Caenorhabditis elegans: one gene and its partners. The protein of the gene in region 2 purifies or fractionates together with the protein of the main gene of each other region. This does not show direct contact. Each region holds a gene or a part of one and is shown on either strand. Other genes may lie near its edges.

Evidence for each region. Proteins that work in one complex are often made in the same cells at the same time.
Region 1: the proteins of VF13D12L.3 (region 2) and acbp-3 fractionate together in Caenorhabditis elegans (co-fractionation; one large-scale study listed by BioGRID). This does not show direct contact.
Region 3: the proteins of VF13D12L.3 (region 2) and C07D8.6 fractionate together in Caenorhabditis elegans (co-fractionation; one large-scale study listed by BioGRID). This does not show direct contact.

Annotation. Positions count from the first base shown.
Region 1 is NC_003284.9:10,901,721-10,905,599, reverse strand, and holds acbp-3 (Acyl-CoA-binding protein homolog 3), read right to left. Parts: upstream 2,329-3,879; 5' UTR 2,320-2,328; coding exon 2,259-2,319; intron 2,176-2,258; coding exon 2,055-2,175; intron 867-2,054; coding exon 773-866; intron 689-772; coding exon 614-688; 3' UTR 512-613; downstream 1-511. Other genes in the region: F47B10.8 (MARVEL domain-containing protein), read left to right, coding at 1-8, 59-213. UniProt on the Caenorhabditis elegans protein: Binds medium- and long-chain acyl-CoA esters with very high affinity and may function as an intracellular carrier of acyl-CoA esters.
Region 2 is NC_003280.10:11,704,409-11,709,064, reverse strand, and holds the start of VF13D12L.3 (Malate dehydrogenase), read right to left. Parts: upstream 3,057-4,656; 5' UTR 3,021-3,056; coding exon 2,862-3,020; intron 2,483-2,861; coding exon 2,356-2,482; intron 2,306-2,355; coding exon 2,055-2,305; intron 1,758-2,054; coding exon 1,605-1,757; exon of another isoform or gene 1,410-1,604; coding exon of another isoform or gene 1,259-1,409; intron 1,157-1,258; coding exon of another isoform or gene 966-1,156; intron 890-965; coding exon of another isoform or gene 760-889; intron 715-759; coding exon of another isoform or gene 441-714; intron 390-440; coding exon of another isoform or gene 1-389. Other genes in the region: fcmt-1 (Cyclopropane-fatty-acyl-phospholipid synthase), read left to right, coding at 1-389, 441-714, 760-889, 966-1,156, 1,259-1,409; xpf-1 (DNA repair endonuclease XPF), read right to left, coding at 3,785-3,907.
Region 3 is NC_003284.9:7,339,961-7,343,291, reverse strand, and holds C07D8.6 (NADP-dependent oxidoreductase domain-containing protein), read right to left. Parts: upstream 1,784-3,331; 5' UTR 1,757-1,783; coding exon 1,514-1,756; intron 1,463-1,513; coding exon 1,053-1,462; intron 1,006-1,052; coding exon 751-1,005; intron 698-750; coding exon 652-697; 3' UTR 512-651; downstream 1-511.

The DNA.
Region 1 (3,879 bases), on a different chromosome or scaffold from region 2:
TGTTACCAGTGAGAACGATTATACTACTTGTGAATATTTATACTTCAAAATTTTTCAGCTGCAATCCTGGTCACACTGGGTGTGATGGCTGCCATGTCGTTTGTTATAGTCATAAATTGCATATTTTTGCATGTTGTCTACCGCACTTTTCAGTTTTTTGCATACCAGGAAGACAAGAAGAGAGAGGAAATGGATAAAAAGGAACGCTTATAACCTTTGCAATGTTTTATCTGAAATGTTTAACCTCGTGCTTTCTATTGAACTATCTCTTACACACAAACATTATGTTGATCTCTTATGTATTCCGAATTCATTTAATTTCCTTCTCGGGTGCTCGTCTGATTTTCATTTTTATTTTATATTGTGGATTTAAAATTTATTCACAGTTTCAACTCTACTGCAATAAAAATTATGTATACATACAATGTTCAAATTTCACTATTACAAATGCAATTCATAGTTTTCATTTTCATGCAAGATTCTTCCAATGTACAGTAAAACTATAGAGTTATTCAATTTACAAAATTAATTCATATTTATTTAGTATCAAGAAGCAATACAAATAATTATATTGTTCGAAATTTGAAAAAAAAATGTTTATGATAATTAAGATTTACTTTCCAATGAGAGCGAGGTTGGTTTTGATGACTGGGTCAATTTGTTCAAGCCAAGCGGCAACATCAAGTTCCTGAAAACAAAGTAATTCTGAACGTAACTACTAGTTTCTGCTACAAAAACTTCAAACGTTTGCCGACAAGACCCATTCACATACCTCGGCGATTTTGTCAAACATGTCGTTTAGAGCCTTGATATAACGCTCTTTAGCTTCATCTTGAGACACTCCTTCGAGCTCTTTCCATGAGTCCCTGGAAATCGGATTAACTGGGGTTGGTCAGGAAAATGCCAGTAAATACTGTGAGCCAGTTGGAATTAATTGTTATTTTTACATGGCTTCAACATCAATAGTCGCAACGTACCATTTTCAGACAAGTAGTTAAACTATTTTGAGTTATTGGAACTGACCCATCTAACTTTTTCAATTACTATTGTACATTTTATTAGAAATGTGTACTATTAAAAGTGCACTAAAAATCGGTGTTTGAAAAATTATACCAGCAGTCTGTTTAGAATTGCGATCTTAGCACTCCACACTTTTACAACTTTTTTTTTAGCGCCAGCCAATGAAATAAATAGAAAACATTACAAGATATACTACCTTTTTATGGATGTTTCAAAATCACGACTGTTATAATTAGATACGATCACTCGTTCTTTTGAAACTTTCTGATTTTAAATAATACTTGTATTTAAATTGCCTTTTTTGTATTATTGCCTTTTAGAATAAAACCTTCACTATCGCCAGCATTGAAATAATGTTCCACCAACACATATGTTTGATGGGTTCGTTCTTTTTATTCATGAACGAGTACTTGTGTAATATCAGTACACCAAAAAATCTTTTTAATTTTTTTCAAAAATACAATATGAGTTCTTTTTGAATTTTAGACTTAGGAAAAATCTAAACCTAAAAATGAATTGAGCATTAAAATGGTTATTTACGTTGTGGTCATTTTGGAATTTTATCCATTGCATACATTGTGGGATACAGTAACTACACAAGTACCCATGAACGGAATTATTTTTTGAATCCATGTTTCTACAAACGTGAAAACATTAATACAGGCTTCGTGTTATTTTTAAGGGGTATTTCAAACATAGTTTATGGTTTTGAAGAGACCAATGATCAGAAACGACACTCTACATTTCTTCAAAACTTTTTATTGATAATTTCACAATCATCCGTTCCTACTCGTTTTTTGTGGCACCATATTCGAAGAAAATGATAATTGCATCGTTTGCAGACACAACGCCGACATTTGTTGCATAGCGATAAGTTAATATATATTGCGGTCAAAAAATCAACACACATAACTCACGCAATTCTGATGCAGTTTAGCTAGCCACGCGGTCATGACTCATTTGTCAATGAAATAAGAAAAAAAGAATTCCCCTTTTTCGAATCAGACAAAGGAATAATGAAAAAAAAAACTGACCACTTCTTTCTCTCGATGATGGAGAAAATTCCTGGTCTATCGGTGTTCACATCTCCGATAGAAGCCTGTTTGAACAAAGAGTAAAAGGTAAGCTTCTGATCATTGCTGGTGGCAACTGGTCCTAGAAAAATTGTAAATTTAGCTTTGAATCAACTACATCATAGCATAGTTTGTAGCATTGTAGCGAATCAAAGTCCAACGTACCTGTTTTTGGAAGTTTCTGGATGATTTCCACAGCAGCGTCGAACTTTTCTTGAAGAGACATTTTCTGAAATAAGAAAGCGTTGAAATTTTTAGGTTAATGAATAGATTAAAAAGATTAAAAAGTTCGAAGCGGTTTTCAAATTGCAAATTGATTGACTTTTTCAAAGGCCTTGAAATAAACTACACCTATTTACTTAGTTATCAAACACGGTTTAAATCAAACAAGACATCAAAACGAGACTAGAATCCAAAAAGTACAAAACAGGGAGAACTGAACGTGAAGAAATCTGTGAGTAGTGCCGTTGGGCGCCGTCAGCCCGATCGGATTTACAAGGACAAACGGGCTGCTGCTGTTGACCTAAATCTTTTCCCTGGATATAAAGATGACCCATTCAGTATCGTGTCTTCCCGTGAACAAGACGTCATCTTTTTATCATTGGCGCTGGTCTTCGGGAAGGACAGTACAATTAATTGTCCGGAAAACTGCGGGTGAGAGATTACACTCATTTAAAGGATACCATTGGAGAATGGAATAGGATAATATCATTTTGAGAAAAAAATAGAATAAATTGAACTCAGGTATTTGACAATAGTAAAAACGTGTATTCTTATTGTTAGAATTTACTTCTAAATTGAAATTTATGTGGTTGCTGTACATCAAAAAATGTTCAAAAACCATATGAAATATTTCAAATCTTTTTAATATAAAATGTAAAAAAATTCTTTGTAGAAACTTCAATATACTTTCAAAATAAAATACACACGTACCAAAATGTATTTCACTTTTCTTGTAATATTCAGAGCATAACAAAAAGTGGGAAACAATCGAAAATAATAATAGAAAATAATCAAAGTTTACCATAAACTTCAAAAAAAAGTATAATATATTTATTTTATGAATTCACCGATTGTTGCCTTATTTTCTCTGTTGTTCGTATATTTTGCAAACTTTATGAAGACACCCAGTTTAAAAGAATTGAATGTTTTTTGAAATTTACGACTGTTTCCGATAAGTTACTCGTTTCAGACAGTTTAATTAAATCTTCAATTTTGCCAAATGCTTATTTGGATTACGTACTTATTAGTTTTTTTCTCGGATAAACAAGGAAAATACCTAGTTTGGAGTATAAATAATTTTTTAAACGTTAAATTTTTAGTAAATGTTTCGTAGATGAATTTTTGTCCCTCATAATGCTTGACGGTCGTCTTTTTTCAAGAATTACAAAAATCACATTAAAAGTTGAAAATAGGTTTTTAAAATATACAAAAAGATCATGACAAACACAATGATACAGACATCACATTAGATTTTTGACTATACAACGTGTTATCTGATAAGAACATGGAATTCAAGTTGCGTAGCTGCAGCAAACATTAGTGGCATGACGTTTTACTGGAAAGATAACCTTCCATGTTACTGCGACTAGTTTCAAATTTGGTGCTTAATGACCACGTGAGACTTTGTTGCGTGTTTTTATTTTGGTGGCTATGTTTTTCAAAAAATTTACCTGTCTGACAAATAGTAACAAACACATGGTAACTGATCAACCGTATTTATAAGATTTTAGAATTTTCAACAAAGTTAATTTTCTTTATAGAATAATTATTATAGTCACTGTTT
Region 2 (4,656 bases):
CCACAACCCCATTCACTTCTGCTGGCTCATGCTTTTGGATCCGAAGATGGGACTCGGCGAGACGTACATGGCGGACGACTGGTCGTGCTCACCAAATCCCACCGAATTCCTTCGTTTGTTGATTCGCAGTAAGAAGCAGACTCAGGCGGCATACAAGGCTCAGTACGGAGATAAGCCGAGAACTAAGTCGTTCGGATCTCACCTCACTCAGTTTTCCATCGATGGGGTTCGGAAGATCGCGAAAGTTGTCAACTACGTCCAGCATTGGCTTCTCGAGAACACAATCTCCCAGAGTGCTCGGAACATCCAGGCTCATTACGATCTTGGAAATGACATGTTCAAGCTGTTCCTGGATAAGTCTATGACCTACTCTTCGGCTCTTTTTGATGGTTAGTGTAACAGATTTAAAAAAAATTAAATTTTCAATTTTCAATTTTCAGAAGTCAAACCAGTCACTGATGTGGACTTTGTGGAGCTCGAGAAGGCTCAATACAAGAAAATTGATCGTCTCATCGATCAACTCGAGTTGAAGGCCGACGATCACGTCCTGGAAATCGGGTGTGGTTGGGGAGCTGCTGCAATTCGTGCTGTTCAGAGATCCGGCTGCAAGTGGACTGGTATCACAATCTCTAAAGAACAACTCGAGTGGGGACAGAAGAAGGTGGTGGAGGCAGGGCTTGAGGGACGGATTGAGCTGAAGTTCCAGGATTATCGGTGAGAAGCTTTCTGTTTTAAATTTTTAAATTTGAAATATTGCAGATTGGTCAAGGAGAAGTACACCCGCGTCGTGTCAATCGAGATGATCGAAGCTGTCGGTGAGAAGTACCTTCCTCAATATTTCCAAATCATCAACGATGTTTTGACCGATGGTGGAATCGCCGCTCTTCAGGTAGAGATGCAAGAAAACACTTGAGAAAACGTGTTAGACTTTCTCAATTCATCACATCAAATTTTCCAATTTTCAGGCCATCACTTGTCCAGACGCCTATTACGATCAGTACCGTTCGTCTTCTGATTTCATTAAGAAGTACATCTTCCCTGGAGGTCATCTGCCATCGCTCGGTGCCATTTCGCAATCCCTCCCGAAGACCTTGAAACAGACCGATCTATTCAGTATGGGACATCATTATTCGATGACTTTGGAGCATTGGTTCTTGTAAGTAGTGTAGTTCAGATTGGGGTAGACACATATTCACCTGCCTGCCTAGGCGGATTTTGTGCCTACTTTCCTGAATCCTAAGCAAGTTTTGAATTCCAGCGCCTGGATGAAAGCCAAGGATGAGATCGAAAAGATGAACTTGCCATTCGGCTTCCATCGCAGATGGCAGTTCTACTTCTGTCTCTGTGCGGCTCTCTTTGCTCACGATCACATCGATGTGGTGCAGCTGACATTTAAAAAAAACGTCTAAACATCCCCCTATTCAGTACCCTCTTTTTTTCTGTGAACCTCCTGTTTATTCCGTATTTGGCCCGATCTCTAGTCGTTTTAGGCTTTTACTGTTTTTCTCGCAGACTATTTCAGAGTTCCGCTGTACTCGTTTCAACAATTTCCCCCACACTCCCCACCCGTCGCTTTTTCCCCAATTGAGAATTCCAATTAATACCTTTCCAATAGCAACTGTTGTTGAAGCCATATCAAGTACAAAAGAGTCATCACCAGTTCCAGGAGCTGCTAAACTGATTGGATTAGTTCCGAGTGCGGGGACGGCGCTTCTGGTCGGGAAGGAAATTGGCGAGGTGTTCGTCATGGACATTCCCTGAAAATTGAGTTTTTTATTGGAATATTTCTCAAGAATTCTGCGAGTTTTGCTTGAAACGATACATTTTTGCTAACTGTGCGCCTTTAAAGATTACTGTAGTTTCAAACCCCTCGTTTTAAAAGTAGATCTTATGTGCGATATTTTAGTTTTTAAATAGATAAGTATGTAGTTTTTTTATCGAAAAAATACAGAAAATTCCGCAAAATCAAGATGCTGAAGTTACAGTACTCTTTGAAGGCACACACTCTTTTGCGTGTCGAGACCTCTAATATTTTTGGAGTAAAAAACCCTCACCAACATTCCCTTCTTCATCGCTCGCAACGCGTACCATCCAGCAATACCGTAGTGATTGGATCCTTTCGCTACAACCCATCCGATTCCTGCATTCTTAGCCTTCTCAATTGCCAAATCCATACAGAAATTTCCGACGACTGGCCCGAGAAGGTTGTTTCCATCGACCCACGCGGTTCCGGCTTTTTCCTTCAGAATAATCGGCTCCCCGTCTCCTTTGCACACGTTTTGTTCGATATCTCGGACGTACATGTCTGGAATTATATATTATTAGAGAGAGAGAGAGTTTTTAAAAATCATGTACCTAATCTATTGAGCCCGTGAGAGTAATGTCCTCGAATGTCTCCTTCTAGAAGGACGAGAGCGAGCTGTGTGGCGTGGGATTCGGTTGCTCCGACTTTTGTCATACATTCCACCATGAAGCGTTTCATCTGAAAAATTGCGCTTTTGAATTTTTTAAATAGAAAAAAATTGTGATTTTTCACTCGAAATTGAGCTACAGTACCTTTTTGTAATTTTTAATTTTTTGCTATTTGCTGGTACGGTAGCTGAACAGTCTCGCTCGCGTCAGGACCTAAGGCCGTATTTTTTCTTGTTAAAATTGAACTTTTTGCGGGTAGATAATATTTTTTTAATTGCATGTTCTCATTTGGGCTAATTTTTATTTGTTTTAACTGGAAATTTTTCTTTTGACAAATTCAAATTCTTTCACCGAAAATATCGCTTCAAATTTTTAAGAACTGGGATGCCCTAGGGCTAATTTCTGACTGAAATATTCAAATTTACACTGGAAATACCCAAAAAATTCACCTCATCCTTCGCCACGACACTTTCCTCGGGAGCAGCCATATTATCGTCGGTAGTAGAGTAGAATCGCGCGTTCTTGCCAACTGAATTGACCGCTATCACTGCCTGATATCGACTGATATGTCCTCCAGTAAACACCAACGCACGTTGTAACAAATTCATTTTTATTTTCACTGTATTTTGCTGCTGCGGCTGCCTCTGTGAAAATTGATTCGATTGTTTCTGTTTCCTTTTCCAATTTTGATAATAATCACGTTGCCATCAACTAAACAGTGCAAAGTGGTCAGTTATCATTGACCACTTTGCCCAGTGGGATCAAAACGGCAATTCTAAAAAATGATCTATTGCACCATGTTGTTACAACATTTGTTATTTAAAAAAGTATAGAAAATCACTTGATTTATCTGAAATAAAATTTATTTCAGCTGGCATATTTGTGAAAATGTTCCGAAAATCGAGCACTTTCCCAATTATTTCAACTGAAATAAATGTCATTTTCAGATAAATTAGGTGATTTTTCATATTTTTGAAGAAAAAATGTTCCGAAAATATGGTGCAATATGATCACTTTGTAGAATTGACCCCTAGATCAAACCCTTACTAGAGAAAGCTATCATATTAATTTCGAAATTTTTGGGATGGTGCAGAAGAAAGTATAAACATTTGATGGTAATTTGAGAATCTAGAAGTTGGATAATATAAATTAATGTGAAATTAGAACTAAAATAACGTAAACCAAGTGTCTAGCTACTACAAACTATAACAAAAGTATGACATTTGGAGCATTTGGAGCCTCTGAAGTTCAATGAAACAAATTTTGAAAAATTGAAAAATTAAAAAATGGAAAAATCAATTGAAGAATGAAATTTATAAAACAGAATGCAGTATGAGTAAATATTATTTGATGTGTCTAGTGATGACCGGTGTTATTTTCTTCCGAAATTGAATGTTGACAGATCTTTGATGAAATCGGCAGAGGTGGATGGAATGAAATCGGAGAGATGAGATGCGGTGATGTTCAATGAGAAGAGATCAGCGAGGGTTTTGATCTGGAAAAAATTGGAATTTTTCGATTTTGTGCAGATGAATGTTTTGACTAAATATTTAGTTTTTGGTTTTTAAAAACCTTTTTTTCTATAAAAAAATTTCAATTTTCAGAAATGTTTTTTTTTCAACTTTTCAGATAGATTTTTCGGCATAGCAATAACGAAAAATTATTATTTTTAGATTTTTGAAATAAAAATAGTTACTCAGTTTTTTTTGAAAATTTTCTGAAAAAAAAAATCATATTTTGAATTTTTTTTTGGTATTTCTAAAAAAATAATGTTTTTTTTTGAAAATTATTTTCTATTCTATACAGTTGCTTTTTTTAGTTAAAAAATATTTTTAAAACGTTTCAGATAATTTTTCCAAAAAGAAAATATCGAAAAATGAGAATTTTTATATTTTTTGGCATAATAATAGTTACTCCGCTTTAAAAAAAAAAAGGTATTAAAAAAAAGTTTTTTCTTGAAAATTAATTCCTATTCTAGAGACGTTTTCTTGAAAAAACGAGAATTTAACAGTGTTTTTGACTTTCAAAAAAATTATATTTTTAAAAACATAATTTTGGTTTTTTTTTGAAATTTTGAAAATAGATTTTTTAACATTTCAAAAAGTTTTTTTCCATAAATTTTTTTGAAAATCGAAAAAAAAACTTCAATGATTTTATTTTCAAAAAATCAACGTTTTCAGATTTTTTCCGGATACAATTTAAATTAAATTTAAAAACAATTTCTGCCTTTTTCAGATTTTTTCC
Region 3 (3,331 bases), on a different chromosome or scaffold from region 2:
ATGAGAATTTTGAGAAGAAAACAAGTTTGTGCGTTGTAAAAATATTTCATCGCTATGTTTTTTACCTTCTAAGAACTTAAACTTGAGAAATTCGAATGAATATTACGATTAGCCCTCGAATAGTATGAGTTTGCCAAACAAATTGATTGCTTATTCTTATTTTTGAAGGGAAACGGTACAACTCAGAATATGTCTCACAATCAGGGCCGTCTTTAATTAGACAAAATATGGTGACGCCACAATTGAAAATTGGTGGCTCTTATAATGTTGAACGACTGCAGGCTCTATTGGATGCATCTCATCAAAGTAGCTGTGCATAATTCTCTACAGCGAAGAGCCACAAATTGTGAAAAATTCTGTCCAAACCTCGCAGATGAGCTAGGGATTTCCAAACTATCTCACAGAGTAGGAGACTCGAGTTTTTTTTTCGACTGGAAAAAAGGAAGGTAGGGCTGACAGGCTGGCAAAGATGATGACAGACTTATGTGATGTTTTTTGGGGTTCAAAATTTAGATCAACGTATTTATTTTTGAAATAAAGCAATCATGCTGAGAAATACATGCCAAAAAGGAAAGAGAACGTGTGACGAATGTGAATGGGAAATTGAACTTTGAAATGATGAACGAAGAACCAGTTGTGGATGACGGTGATCTACTTGCGCTCAGCAGCAAAGGCATCCTCGGGGTGTCCGGTCATACTGAAAAAGAGTTGGGTTACTAAAGTTTCAGTCATTTTGTCCTATAAACTTACAAATCTTGAAGAAAGAGACGCTGCGAGTTCTTGCTCTCCTCGAGCTTGGCAATGTCCTCTTCAGTGAGAGAGAAGTCGAACACCTCGAAGTTCTCCTTGATGCGATTTTCTTGGATCGACTTTGGAAGGATTGCGCATCCACGATCAAGAGCGTAGCGGAGGAGCACCTGGGCTGGAGTCTTGTGGGTTTTCTCAGCCAAAGCCAACACATTTTGGTCTTGAAGGTCGGATGGAGCTGGAGCCCAGTCCAATTTCCTGCAAATAGGTGTTGAGAAAAGGAACAAGCTACTTGTTAAACTTACTGTCCAGTTGGAAGAGTGAAGTTGACACGTCCTGGGCTTCCCAAAGTGGCGTAGGAAGTGACCGAGATATTGTGCTTCTTGCAGAAATCGACGTGGTCGTGCTGTGGGAAGTAGAGATGAAGCTCGACTTGGGAGTTGTGAACTGGTGTCAATCCAAGAGCAAGAGCACGAGAAATCTGATCGTTGTTCCAGTTGGAGACACCGACAGCCTTGGCAAGTCCGGCCTTGTAGACTGCATCAAACTGACGCCAGACGTCCTCCACTGGCGAAGCGATGTGCTCGCTCATGTCATCGTTGAATGCAGCTGGCATGTGAGCAAGGTACAAGTCGACGTACTCCAGTTGAAGCTTCTTGAGGGACTCGCGAAGTCCACCCTCCAGTTTTCCCGGAGCCAACTCGTGAGTCCAAGCCTGTAAAACCGGATTTGTATAAAATAATATAAAGATGCTATTTTTGCAAACCTTAGTAGTGATGAACAGCTCCTCACGTTTGACAACTCCCTCCTCGAGAAGCTCCTTGATAGCAGTTCCGATGGCTTCCTCGTTTTGGTATACGGATGCGGTATCGATGAGACGGTAGCCAGCTTTGACGGCGGTCTTCACGGCGGTGATGACTTCGGCGGGGCTTGACTGCCAGGTTCCGAGACCGATGACCGGCATCTCAACTCCGTTGGAAAGCTTGATGGAAGCAGTTGCGGAAGACATGGTGATGGACCGAGTGTTGAGGAGATTCTAAAATTGAAAAAATAGAAATGTGAAATTTTTGAGAACAAAACGAGGTGATAAAGTATAGAGTAAAAGAAAATCGGCAAATAAAATTGTCCAAAGTTTGATAACTAACAGACGATTGTGCTATATTTGATCAGACGGAAATAGAAATAGAGAATGCTAAGAGGGGAGGGAGGGCTGATGAAAATCTTACAAACCTTGACACTATTCAAGTTATTTCCAAAAAAGGGTTGAGGGCGCTGATTTAATCTACCTTATGCCTCACGGTATTTATATTCAAAAAAAATCATCTTTATCAAGCGATAGCAGCTGTCGGTAGGAATCAGTTTGAGAGAGACCAATGGTGTATCTTGTTCCCGAAATGCAATAGTTTGCCAGCAAAATATAAATGATACGCAGGAGGTTAGGGGAGAATGAGAGAGAATCTGTGGGTCAAAAAATGATGACATTTTATTGTTCGAAGCATGCACCGTGGACGTATTTCGGAGATAACGAAATTTTAAATGGAAATTTGTATCATTTTCAGTGTTTCAAAAGTGTTACTTAGGAGGTGCGTTTGTAGTAGGCGAAATTAAGCGCATTTTATAAACGTCTACTGATAAGGGTAAGATATCAATCTACATTCTAGAACTGTTAGTTTTATTTTATTTTCAAGCAGCATTTTTACCAGCTAATTTGAACATGATTTGATTCATGAGCACCGGGAAAGTGAGTGCCAAGGAGAGGATAGGCGAGAGAGAGAGAGGTCACGGCAACGTAAAAAAGGAAAAAATAAGCAGGAAAAATGGAAAACAATGTCAGTTGCCCCAGATTTCTTCCCTTTTATACTGACCAAGGAAGCCACGCCCCGTTCCGTTCCCGCGTTCAAAAAAATGTTCCCGGTTTCCTCTTTCTTGCAGTGATTGCACAGTTTGCGCATAATGCAGATCACATAACAGATTTGACGCGCAATATTTTTGAAGAAAAGGCGCGTGGAGAGAGTGCGGGCAAAAAAGGGAGAGTGTAGGATGGGTAACAAAACACTGCGCAACAACGATTCAGGATTTTAATCGCACTGAAAATGAATTTTGTGATTTTAACTCTAATTTGAATCCGTTTTACTTGAAAAACGTTAGAAAATATACTCAAAAGTGAGACAACAGGAAAAACCAATTTTAATTGTTCCATTTTTCTATAAGGATATTTTTTTGATAAAAAATCAGTGCGTTTTCCGACTTTGATACCATTTTTCCTCTGATTTTACTTTTTTTATTCATTTAAATTCTGAAATTATCGCATTTGTATTGTGTTCATATACAAACAGAAATTCAATACAGTGAAATTAATAGTTTACTTTGAAACAAAAATAATAGTTGTTGGTTTTCAATTATTCTAAATTTGCAACATTCATTTCAAATATCCATATCAAGGTATCAGGTTATTTGGACCACGAAGCAGCATTTCAAAAATGAACAATTAAATATATACCTATACAGTACCAGTAAGACCAAAAGATTTTGACGGGCCCAAAAGACTGACGAGTTGGGAGAACAAAAGAGGTAAAGGGGACAT